3 linked regions of the Macaca fascicularis genome follow. The protein of the gene in region 2 purifies or fractionates together with the protein of the main gene of each other region. This does not show direct contact. Links are inferred from orthologs where the notes say so. Each region holds a gene or a part of one and is shown on either strand. Other genes may lie near its edges. The genes, in order: CHD4, CTBP1 and ZNF516.

What was found.
Region 1: the proteins of CTBP1 (region 2) and CHD4 purify together in Homo sapiens (affinity purification with mass spectrometry; 3 studies listed by BioGRID and IntAct, with this or other methods). This does not show direct contact. The link is inferred for Macaca fascicularis from reciprocal best matches to the Homo sapiens genes CTBP1 and CHD4.
Region 3: the proteins of CTBP1 (region 2) and ZNF516 purify together in Homo sapiens (co-immunoprecipitation; 4 studies listed by BioGRID and IntAct, counting the BioPlex papers as one, with this or other methods). This does not show direct contact. The link is inferred for Macaca fascicularis from reciprocal best matches to the Homo sapiens genes CTBP1 and ZNF516.

The regions. Positions count from the first base shown.
Region 1 is NC_088385.1:7,493,072-7,496,719, forward strand, and holds part of CHD4 (chromodomain-helicase-DNA-binding protein 4), read right to left. Parts: exon of another isoform or gene 3,600-3,648; intron 2,313-3,599; coding exon 2,117-2,312; coding exon of another isoform or gene 2,114-2,116; intron 157-2,113; coding exon 1-156. UniProt on the Homo sapiens protein: ATP-dependent chromatin-remodeling factor that binds and distorts nucleosomal DNA. Acts as a component of the histone deacetylase NuRD complex which participates in the remodeling of chromatin.
Region 2 is NC_088379.1:1,311,776-1,315,199, reverse strand, and holds part of CTBP1 (C-terminal-binding protein 1), read left to right. Parts: intron 1-1,297; coding exon 1,298-1,512; intron 1,513-2,941; coding exon 2,942-3,072; intron 3,073-3,424. UniProt on the Homo sapiens protein: Corepressor targeting diverse transcription regulators such as GLIS2 or BCL6. Has dehydrogenase activity. Involved in controlling the equilibrium between tubular and stacked structures in the Golgi complex.
Region 3 is NC_088392.1:4,249,569-4,253,316, reverse strand, and holds the start of ZNF516 (zinc finger protein 516), read right to left. Parts: upstream 2,820-3,748; 5' UTR 2,519-2,819; intron 1-2,518. UniProt on the Homo sapiens protein: Transcriptional regulator that binds to the promoter and activates the transcription of genes promoting brown adipose tissue (BAT) differentiation.

The sequences.
Region 1 (3,648 bases), on a different chromosome or scaffold from region 2:
GGGTAGGTTCGGGTGCCCGGTTTGCCAGGCGGCTGAGAATGTTACGCTCTGACATCTGTAACCTCACAGCAACTGGGGGAATTCGGGCAATGGTAGCTGGGAGTCGAGTCACATCGGCTTTCATGTCACTCAGCAGTTCTTCCAGCTGTTTCAGAACTGCAAAGGGAGAAAAAGAGGTGGTGAGCTGTGGTGGCCAAGACTGAGGTCCCTCTACCCTAGTGGACCAGCATCACTTCTCAGTGACCAAGTGACTGTGATGTGTTATCTTCTGTCACCTGACCTGACCTCCACCATGTTCAAATTCCTGCTCCTCATATTCCAGTTCCAACTGTTCATGATTTTGTGCTCTTAAAAGTCACCTAAACCTTCACTATCCCTTACTATTATTGTATTTCCTCTTCTTGAGAAGCTTATTCCTGTTTTTTCTCTTCTCTACCTTCAGAATCTGTCTCCCACCTCCATTATAACAGCATTCTTTTCCTTATTTCACCCTCCGCCTCCTCATAACCTTTTACTTTAATTAGAAACAAAACGCTGAAAGGGGTCTAGAATTTGAAGGGATCTTTTATCACCTGAAGTTACCTCTAAAGTATCCCAAATGACACTATATTATTCTGCTTTGCTTTCCATCTCAAGAACCTGAATATATTTAAAGTTAAAAGAGGTGGGGCCGGGCGTGGTGGCTCATGCCTGTAATCCCAGCACTTTGGGAGGCAGAGGCAGGTGGATCATCTGAGGTCAGGAGTTTGAGACCGGCCTGGCCAACATGGTGAAACCCCATCTCTACTAAAAATACAAAAAATTAGCCGGGCATGGTGGCGGGCGCCTGTAATCCCAGCAACTTAGGAAGCTGAGGCAGAAGAATCGCTTGAACCCGGGAGGCGGAGGTTGTGGTGAACTGAGATCACGCCATTGCACTCCACCCTGGGCAACAAGAGCAAAACTCCATCTCAAAAAACAAACAAACAAAAAAACAAAATTAGCAGGGCATGGTGGTGCATGCCTGTAATCCCAGCTACTCAGGAGGCTAAGGCAGGAGAATCGCTTGAACCTGGGAGGCAAAGGTTGCAGTGAGCCGAGATCACGCCACTGCACTCCAGCCTGGGCAACAGGAGCAAAACTCCGCCTCAAAAAAAAAAAAAAAAAAAAAAAAAAAAAAAAAAAAAGGTGGCCAGGGCGGGGCATGGTGGCTCACGCCTATAATGCCAGCACTTTGGGAGGCAGAGGCAGGTAGACCACTTGAAGTCAGTTTGAGACCAGCTTTGCCAACATGGTAAAACCCCATCTCTACTAAAAATACAAAAACTAGCCGCAAGTGGTGGCGCATGCCTATAGTTCCAGCTGCTCGGGAGGCTGAGGCAGGATAATTGCTTGAACCCAGGAGGCAGAGGCTGCAGTGGGCCAAGATCACGCCATTGCACTCCAGCCTGGGCAAGAGCTAGACTCCATCTCAAAAAGAAAAAAAAAAGGTGGCCGGGTACAGTGGCACATATTTGTAGTTCCAGCTACTCAGGAGGCTGAGGCAAGAGGATCACTTGAGTCCAGGAGTTCAAGACCCACCCGGGCAAAATGTTGAGAGCCCATCTCTTTTTTTTTTTTCCGGAGTCTCACTGTGTTGCCCAGGCTGATAGCCAGTGCAATGGCACGATCTTGGTTTACTGCAAACTCCACCTCCTGGTTTCAAGCGATTCTCTTGCCTCAGCCTCCTGAGCAGCTAGGATTACAGGCATGTGCCACATGCCCAGCTAATTTTGCTATTTTTAGTAGAGATGGGGTTTCACCATGTTGGCCAGGCTGGTCTCGAACTCCTAACCTCGTGATCCACCCACCTTGGCCTCCCAAAGTGCCGAGATTACAGACGTCAGCCACCGCGCCCAGCCAAGAGCCCACCTCTTAAAAAGAAAAAAGAAAAAAAAAAAAAAAAAAAGAGGCAAAGAACTACTGTCCTTGATTGCCTCTAACATATTAACTCCCCAAGGATGGCAAAGGTCCCTACCAACTCCTAAACTCTCAAAGGAGCTCTGAAAAAGGTTTGAAAACAAATATATGTACATTGGGATGCAGTTAGATGAGGGAGGAGGCCTAATCAGCAGGAGGCAGGGGAGCCACTGGCTACCTTTGTGCAGGACTGCATTGGCTGGCTTGTTTCCTGCCATTGACTCCTTGGACAGGTGCTGATGACTTTCCGCCAAACACTCCACCTCAGCAAAGCGGGTGTTGAGGGCCATGGAAGGGTGAGAAGGGTCTTCTGACATGTTCAAGTAAGCAGCCCGGCGCAGCTGTTCCTCAATCACCAGAGCTTGTTCTAAGAGCTGGACAAGGGATAAGAGGAAACGGGAGTTCGACTGATAACTCACTTTGCTTACTTCTGACTGGCCTCTCAGCTCACCTCTCATTGTTTCTGATAGTAATAAGAACCTATAAATAACTTCATGGACAGCTCATTCCCACACCCAAGCAGTTTAACTTTGGCTTGTATCTTTTTTCTTTCCCTTTTTCAATGTCCTCGTTTTTAAAACTCTTTACCCTTTAGATTCTCTTATACAAAAGCAATAAAAACTCAATTTAGAAAATAGAATATCAAAAATTAACAACAGATGATCCCACCTTCTAGAAATATATCCTGATGTTTTTCTTTTTAGGTTTTTTTGTGCATAGTTTTTTACATAACTGAGATCATACTATATACATATCCATATTATGTTTTCATTTAGTTACAGTTAAACATTTTCCTTTTTATCATCTACACTTTATCAACTACTCTTCAAAAACACGTTTTGGCTGGGCACAGTGGCTCACACCTGTAATCCCAGCACTTTGGGAGGCTGAGATGGGCAGATCACTTGAGGTCAGGAGTTCAAGACCAGCCTGGCCAACATGACAAAACCCCATCTCTACTAAACACACAAAAATTAGCAAGGTATGGTAGTGCACACCTGTAACTGCTGCTGCTCAAGAGGTTGAGGCAGAAGAATGCTTGAACCCGGGAGGCAAAGGTTGCAGTGAGCTGGGATCATGCCACTGCACTCCAGCCTGAATGACAGAGGGAAACTGTCTCAAAAAAACAGGGTTATTTTGCTATTTTAAAATATTTTTTTTATTTCCTCTTATCGCCATCTCACTTCCATTCCTCTGAAAAGCAACCTTTCTAATATAGTAATACTGTGGCTTTTTGTGTAGGTTTTTAAAGACTGTGTTGTTTCATATGTATGTTTCTAAGTTACAGAATGATGTTTTCTGTACCTATGCTTTTTTTCTCCCACTACATATTTTTTAAAAGGTACACTTATGTTGTATGCACATGAATTTTGTTGCTTCTGTTGTTTAATGCCCCATAATATGAATACATGTTTTACCTATGCATTCTCCTAATGCTGAACATTTAGGTTGCCTCTAGGCCCCCATCACCAAAAATCATACTGCAGAAACACTCATGCATATGTCACCTGATGGAGCTGTATTAAAGGTTCTTTGAAATATATCCCAAGAGGCAGAATGTTGGTTCTTAATTTATGAAAAGATTTTAATTACTTAAAAAATATATTCATAAAACCTATGACTCAACATATGAGATTTCTTATACGCTTCTCCTCTCCTAGTGTCAGCCAGCACTTCTATGCAGATGATTTGATGCTTCTCAAACATGTA
Region 2 (3,424 bases):
GACGGGGGCTGTTCCTGCATCTGGGGAGCTGCCCGGGTACTCCGGCTGTGACTGACCTCGGAACTGCTTCTCCCACCTCGGCCTGCCGAGCCCTCCTCCCCGGACCGGTTGCCTCCTGCAGCAGCCTCGTCCCTGGGGATGAAAGGAGCCGCCATATTCCTTCTGGTAGAACAGGCGCCTGCCTTTCTAGGATGTAGTGTATTTAGACGGTCCTCAGCTCTTCTGACTGGCCTCCCAGCCTCCCCCAGGCTGTTCCCAAGTGACTGGGAGTCCCCTGGGCGTTTGGGCCACATCTGGCTGCCCTGTCTGCCTGGCGGTCTGGTCTCCTTGGCCCTCAGGCCGCCGCCACCGTGGGCCCCTCACACGTGTTGTTCCAGCTCTTCGGCTCCCTTCCCATCCCCTCATGTCTCCAGCAAGCTTGGTCTTCTCAGGGATGCCTGCCCTGGCTGCCACCTCTGAAACTGCACCCGCTTCCCACCTGCCCCAGCGCCCAGCCGGCTTCCTTCCTGTGCAGCGGTTCCCTCTGAGGCGATGCAGGAGACACCACATTGGCGGGCTTGGGTTCCTGTGTCCTTCGCAGCCGCGTCTGGGCTTCCGAAGTCCTGTGTCCCTTGCAGCCGTGCTGTTGGCTCACGGTGGGCGCATGCACCCTGCCGACCCTTCCCCAGGGAGGAGCCAGAAATGGTGGCTCTGGCTCCGTGGCTCCTGTGCTGGGGCCCACGCCAGCCTTGGACTGCTGGGGTCGGGGCAGGCACGTCTGCCCGGGATGGCTTTCTCTGCCACTCCACTGGAAGGGGACAGGACATGAGCCCAGCGGGGCCTCCCTGGTCTGGAAGGTTCCCTCCCGCCCCCTTTGCCGTCTCCACCTAGTCGTGGCTGGAACTGAGATGCCAGAGACATCGATGGGTGGACCGGAAAGCGGGCCAGTGGAGGGACCTGGGCACATAGGGCGTGTGTGGGGTGAGTGGAGACCCGCTGACGGTCCGTTTGACACTGAGTGGTTCGTGTCACGTCCTGTGGACAGGCTGCAGGGGGGGCGTGGCTGGCAGCTGGTGTGGGCCGAGGGGCTCGTGCACCCTTTCCACCCCCGTGCACAGCCTCCACCTTGGCAGTGGGCGCATCGGGAGCAGACACCTCGTGTGGAGACACCTCGCGCCGGCACCTTGGCTTGACCACAGCTGGTGTCCTTGGCAGATGGTCAAACTGAGGCACAGGGGCCACTCCGATCCTGGCTGTCAGGGCTAGCCTCCCAGCCACGGGTGAGCGAGGGTTTCACACTGTGTCCTGACACCACCAGGTCGCGTGGGGCAGGCGGTGGCGCTGCGGGCCAAGGCCTTCGGCTTCAACGTGCTCTTCTACGACCCTTACCTGTCGGACGGCGTGGAGCGGGCGCTGGGGCTGCAGCGGGTCAGCACCCTGCAGGACCTGCTTTTCCACAGCGACTGCGTGAGCCTGCACTGCGGCCTCAACGAGCACAACCACCACCTCATCAACGACTTCACCGTCAAGCAGGTGCGTGAAGCTGGGGCACAGGGCTCTCCTTCTGCGGGGCAGGCACAGGTGGGGGTGTCAGGAAGGTCCCTCCCAGCAACCACCTGCACCTGGGCGAGACCCTGCCTTCAGTGAGCCACATGGCGGTGGTGCCGGCCCTGCTGGGGGAAGCCCTGTCTGCCCAGACGGCGTTTTCCATGTTCTGAGTTCTACCCAGGATGCCTGAAATACTCTCTGGATAAGACAGAACCACATACCTTTGAATCCTAAATTCCCCTGAAGCTCTTGCCACTGTCACAGTGGAGATGATGCAGCTACCTGGGGGCATTGGGCCTGCCCTTCTGACTTCCATCCTGTGCTGCCAGGTTCAGGTTTCACATCTGCAGCTGGAGAGGGCTGTGCTCAGGTCGGCCTCTGCCTCAGCTCAGCGCAGAGCGCAGCCTCAGCCCGTGTTTCCCTCGGGTGGGCGGAGCTCGGGTGGGCGGAGCTCGGGACGGCTGCCTCCCGCCGGCTGTTGGCCTTTCAGGGAGTCGTTATGTGTGCACGGTGATGTGTGTGTATGTGGGCAAGTGTGTGTGGGTGCCTGTGTCTGCCCGTTTGAGCTTGTGTGTGCGTGTGTGTACACACGTGTCAGAGGCCACCCACCCACTCAAGCTGCCCCAGCAGCCTGTAGCCACAGGGAGGATGAAACCAGGTGCCCACCTCCCCTTCCTTTGTTCACAGAGCCAGTGGGTTTGGAGCCTTCTAGTGGACAGGGTGTGGCACGTGGATGCTGGTCAGGGCCCTGCCATCCCTGAGGACCTTGGGTGTGAGGCTGCAATGGGCAGCAACTCACCAAAGAAAAGCCACCATGACCCACCCGGCTGCCACCCAAGCGCAATGGCTGGGTGGGCTTCCTCGGAATGAAATGGGGGGGTTGCAGGAAAGCCCTGGCCACGAAGCTGACAGGGAGCCACTGCAAGGGCCTTTTGCAAAAGTGCATGAAAAGTGAGCGTGTCCGGAGGCCCCACTGGGGTTGGAGTCAAACACCACACCTCAGAGTAGATGGCCCTGGGCTTTGTCATCCCAGGGAGTCCCACCTCGTGGGCCGAGGCCCTGTTGGGGGAGGCTGGGCTGGAGGGGACCCAGAAAAGGGATACCACAGGGGGACCAAGCCAGGAGCCCCCACCCAGTCCTCAGCTCAGGGCTTGGGCAGGAACGTAGAGCTCTCTAGGAGGTGTGGGGCCATGCAGGTCTGCACAGGGCTGAACCTCAGCCAGCTTGCCAGGGCCGCGGCGCAGCACGCTTGAGGTCTTAAGTCCTAGCACCCTGGTGAGCCCAGGGTGGGCCTGGGCTGGGAAGGGGCCAGGGAGCTGGGGCTCCTCAGCAGCGTGCGTGACCACCTTGCTTCCCTGGCCGCTCGCCCTGCACGGAACCCTGACTGGGCCTGGCCTGTCCTCATGTCTTCCAGATGAGACAAGGGGCCTTCTTGGTGAACACAGCCCGGGGCGGCCTGGTGGACGAGAAGGCGCTGGCCCAGGCCCTGAAGGAGGGCCGGATCCGCGGCGCGGCCCTGGACGTGCACGAGTCGGAACCCTTCAGGTGCCCTCACAGCCAGTGTCACTCCCTGCTCTTCCCTGCCCACCATCCTGCCGGCCTTGACCTGCAGATGGCGCCTCTGCCAGGCCGGGCACTTGCTTGTACTCAGGCCTCTCGCTGGCTGGCACGGGGGAGTTTGCTGCTCACTGTGGGGTGAGGACGGAGCCACGGGCTCCAGGCCTGCCTCGCCTCGGTCCTGTGAGGGTTGATCGTCCTCTTCAGCCCCTCTTTGGGCAGGGCTCCCCACCAGCCAGGAGAGAGTGAGGCCCCAGTGTCCGTGAGTGGTCCCCACAGGCCCTGGCCATGGAGTCATGGCGTCATGTCCAGACCTGCAATCCCTGCAGCGCCCTGGGAC
Region 3 (3,748 bases), on a different chromosome or scaffold from region 2:
AACAATCTATGGTTATTTTGTGCCTGACATCCTCCACTCAGCGTAAGGCTTTCGAGGTTTATCCACGTTGTGGCATATGCCAGTGTTCCCTCCTTTTCATGAGTGAATAATATTCCATTGTGGAGATACAGCACACTTTACTTATCCATTCACCCGCGGAGGGATGCTTGCGTTGTTTCCATATTGTGGCTACTGTGAATGCTGCTGCTATTAAACCTGATTTTGACCCTGTGGTGGCCTAAGGAGCTCATCAGGGTGAACTGGAGGGGGTGTGCCCCAGCTCTGGTGTCTGGTCAGGCAAACCCTCACCCCTTGAGAGAGGAGTCAGTGGGAGACACCTCTCAAGTCTCCATAATGAGGGACAATTTCAGGCTGGGACAACATGGTGGAGGAAGGACTTCTTCAGAGAGGAAATGCACGTAAGGGCCAAGGACCCTACAAAGACTGGTGGGGCCTGTGGAGAGCATGCACGTCCCTCAGATTAAAGCTGGTCTGAGGTTGGGCACAGTGGCTCACGCCTGTAATCCCAGCACTTTTGGGAGGTCAAGGTGGGCAGATCACCTGAGGTCAGGAGTTCGAGACCAGCCTGACTAACAAGGTGAAACCCCGTCTCTACTAAAAATACAAAAACTAGCCGGGCGTGGTGGCGGGCGCCTGTAGTCCCAGCTACTCAGGAAGCTGAGGCAGAAGAATCGCTTGAACTGGGGAAGTGGAGGTCGCAGTGAGCCAAGCTTACACCACTGCACTCCAGCCTGGGTGACAGAGCGAGACCTGTCTCGGAAAAAAAAAAAAAAAAAAAAGCTGGGCTGAGTGCAGAATCAGTCCAATCCAGGGAGAAATCTGGCACATACTCTTGGCCAGCTCCTGCTTTTCTGAAAACATAGGTGCCAGAAGAGCATCCGGTAGCAGCTGCCAAGTTCAATACTAAGACTCCACTCCACAGGCAATTCTGTCACCCCATTGTGGGTGTCCTGGATGTCCAGAAAACCCACATCTCTTGATAAAGTCCTCCTGTGGTAGGTCTGCGACCCCTCTGCACCCAGCCCCTCTGCTAACACCCCCTCTGCACCCAGCCCTCTGCTAACACCCCCTCTGCACCCTGCATCTTTGCCAAGTGGGGAGAGATGCATTCCAGAACTCCAGTGCCAGGATCTGCCCTTGCCGGGATCACGCAGACTTGGCATTTTCCAATACCTACTGTTGCCTGATGTTTCATATAATAGAGTAGGATGAGCGACACAATTTCTGGTTTAGTAATTTGGTACCAATATATGTGTTTTATGCATACATGTTATGTGTGTCCATATGTAAACACAGCGATACATACATGTTTATGTATACAGATATATGTCAGCGAATACCTAAATATATAATCGTATGAAACAAGCTCTACTTATCCCTGTTCCATAAACTTCATATCAATTCAATAAATAAAATGTGTTCAAAATCCAGTCATCCCAACACATTAACATTTAATTTTTCCATATTTTCTGTCTGTGTTTGTCATTGAATATTAAAAGTTTTGCTTTTTTTACTATTGCACCTTTTTTCTAGGTAGTCCATAAGTTTAAAACAATATATATGGCACCACTTGGTCTGCACAGCTTTCAAGACAGGGCTGTCAAGACAAGGACACTCCTTAGGGGACCCTGTCTCATAAAGTCAGATTATGCGGGATGACTCAGGGACGCAGGAGCTAAAAACAGTGTCCCTTTAAAAATGTGCATGCCTTTCAAATGGAATAAGTAAAGTACTTGCAGATGCAAATGGTTTCAAGTTTCACTGGAGACCGAGCGAGAGCGGCTGTTCTCAAAGTTGCCAGGCAGTGTGGAAACGCCTGCTGAGGGGCACACAGTGAGGCGGCCACTGGCTCTGTGTCCTTGGGGAAGCCCCTTCTGCGGTCCCCTTCATTGTCTGCGTGACAAAGTGGACGTAGAACTCCCCATCTGCTGCCCAGGGCGGGTGAGGACCCTGCACACACGCGCGCGCGCGCACACACACACACACGGTGTGTTTGTGAGCTGTGCAGAGTGGGGTCTCCCTGGCAATGGCCACAGCCTCCAGGGGCACTGACACCTCCCGTCTAACTGGTAGACAGTTTCTGCCTCTTCCTTTTTGGGGATTGGAAAGGGAAGCGTGTCTGGATGACTACTAGGGTAAATACGGAATCCGCAGCGCGTCCTCCCTTTCTTCTCTCCCTTCCCACGCACCTGCCTGGCTCTCTGGCTCTCCTGCCACGGCTGGAGTGAATGAGAGCTGCAAAGTCCATATGTGAACAGCTGTGGGCAAGTCGTGCAACAGTGCTCATGGGGCTTGCTACACATCTAAGCCACTGAACTTCAGCTGGACCCCAAATGGCCTTGGTCACGTTTTGTTTCTGTTTTGTCATTTCCGGCTGAATCTCCCACAACCTCAGCCCTGCTCTCCTTGCTCTGCCTTCTCCTCCCCACAGCTTCTTTGCAGATAACATCCTGGCCGCATTATGCAACTGGATCCATATTATCCGGGGGAAACTTACCCTCCTCTGCTCTAAATCTTCCTTTTCCTTCTGGCTTTGGAGAAAGAGGAGCTCCCTTTCCATCCATAAGGTCAACCTCTTCCTGTTTCCTTTCTTCATTCTTCGTTATTTTCCGCTCCTCAGTTTTGGATTCTTCTCTCGGTCAACAACTACATCCGAATTCTTCCAGCTGTAACCAACAAATGAAAGGCCTCGTGCACCAAGGCCGCCCCCGCGTGCGCCCCCCACCCCCCAGCTGCGTGGCCTCGGCCTGGAGCACAGCCGCGTTGCCACTTTCCTGCACTCCGTGGGGGAGAAGGGCGGTGCACACTACCCAGAAGTGGAATGTGCATTTCACAGCAAATGACCAATTTAAGGAGAAAATTAAAGCAGAAAAGCGGGTGAGAATGGCAGCCGCGTGTGTGGGTCCACGCTGGGATCCCGAGTTGATTTTCCTAAGGCCCGCGTGTTGGTACGCATGCGCGTGCACCCCCACCTCAAATCGTGTTACGACCTGTTTCCCGGCAGCAGAGCCCTGGGTGAATTTACTGTCTTCTCTGTGTCTTTCTGTATTTTCCATGCTTTCTGTGACGAAGAACATCATCATACATATCGCTACTTCTTTTTTTCTTTTTCTTTTTCTTTTTTTTTTGGAGTCTCGCTCTGTCTCTCAGGCTGGAGTGAGCGGCGCCATCTTGGCTCACTGCAAGCTCCGCCTCCCGGGTTCCCGCCATTCTCCTGCCTCAGCCTCCCAAGTAGCTGGGACTACAGGCGCCGCCACCGCCCCCGACTAATTTTTTGTATTTTTAGTAGAGACGGGGTTTCACCGTGTTAGCCAGGATGGTCTCGATCTCCTGACCTTGTGATCGGCCCGCCTCGGCCTCCCAAAGTGTTGGGATCATAGGCCTGTGCTACCATGCCCGGCCACATATCACCGCTTCTATTGTGCGTTCACCGCACACCAAACCTGAGTAAGGACTTTCTGTGCACGTTCTCATTTCATGCTTATGACATTCTGAGAATTAAGACCATTTTGACCCCTGTCTTACAGATGAGGAAGCTGAGGCCTGGTGCTGCTAGAGGGCTTGGTCAGGAGGCGGAGGTGGAGGCGGTGGAAGGCTGTTCCCCTGCGGTGAGTGCTCACACGGTCAGCTGTGATTTGCATGCAGGGGCGCACAGGCCAGTGCTCTCAGGAGCCACACTTGAAGAATGGCAGGACCCAGGGTGGGCAGAAGAAGAAGGTGAACTGAG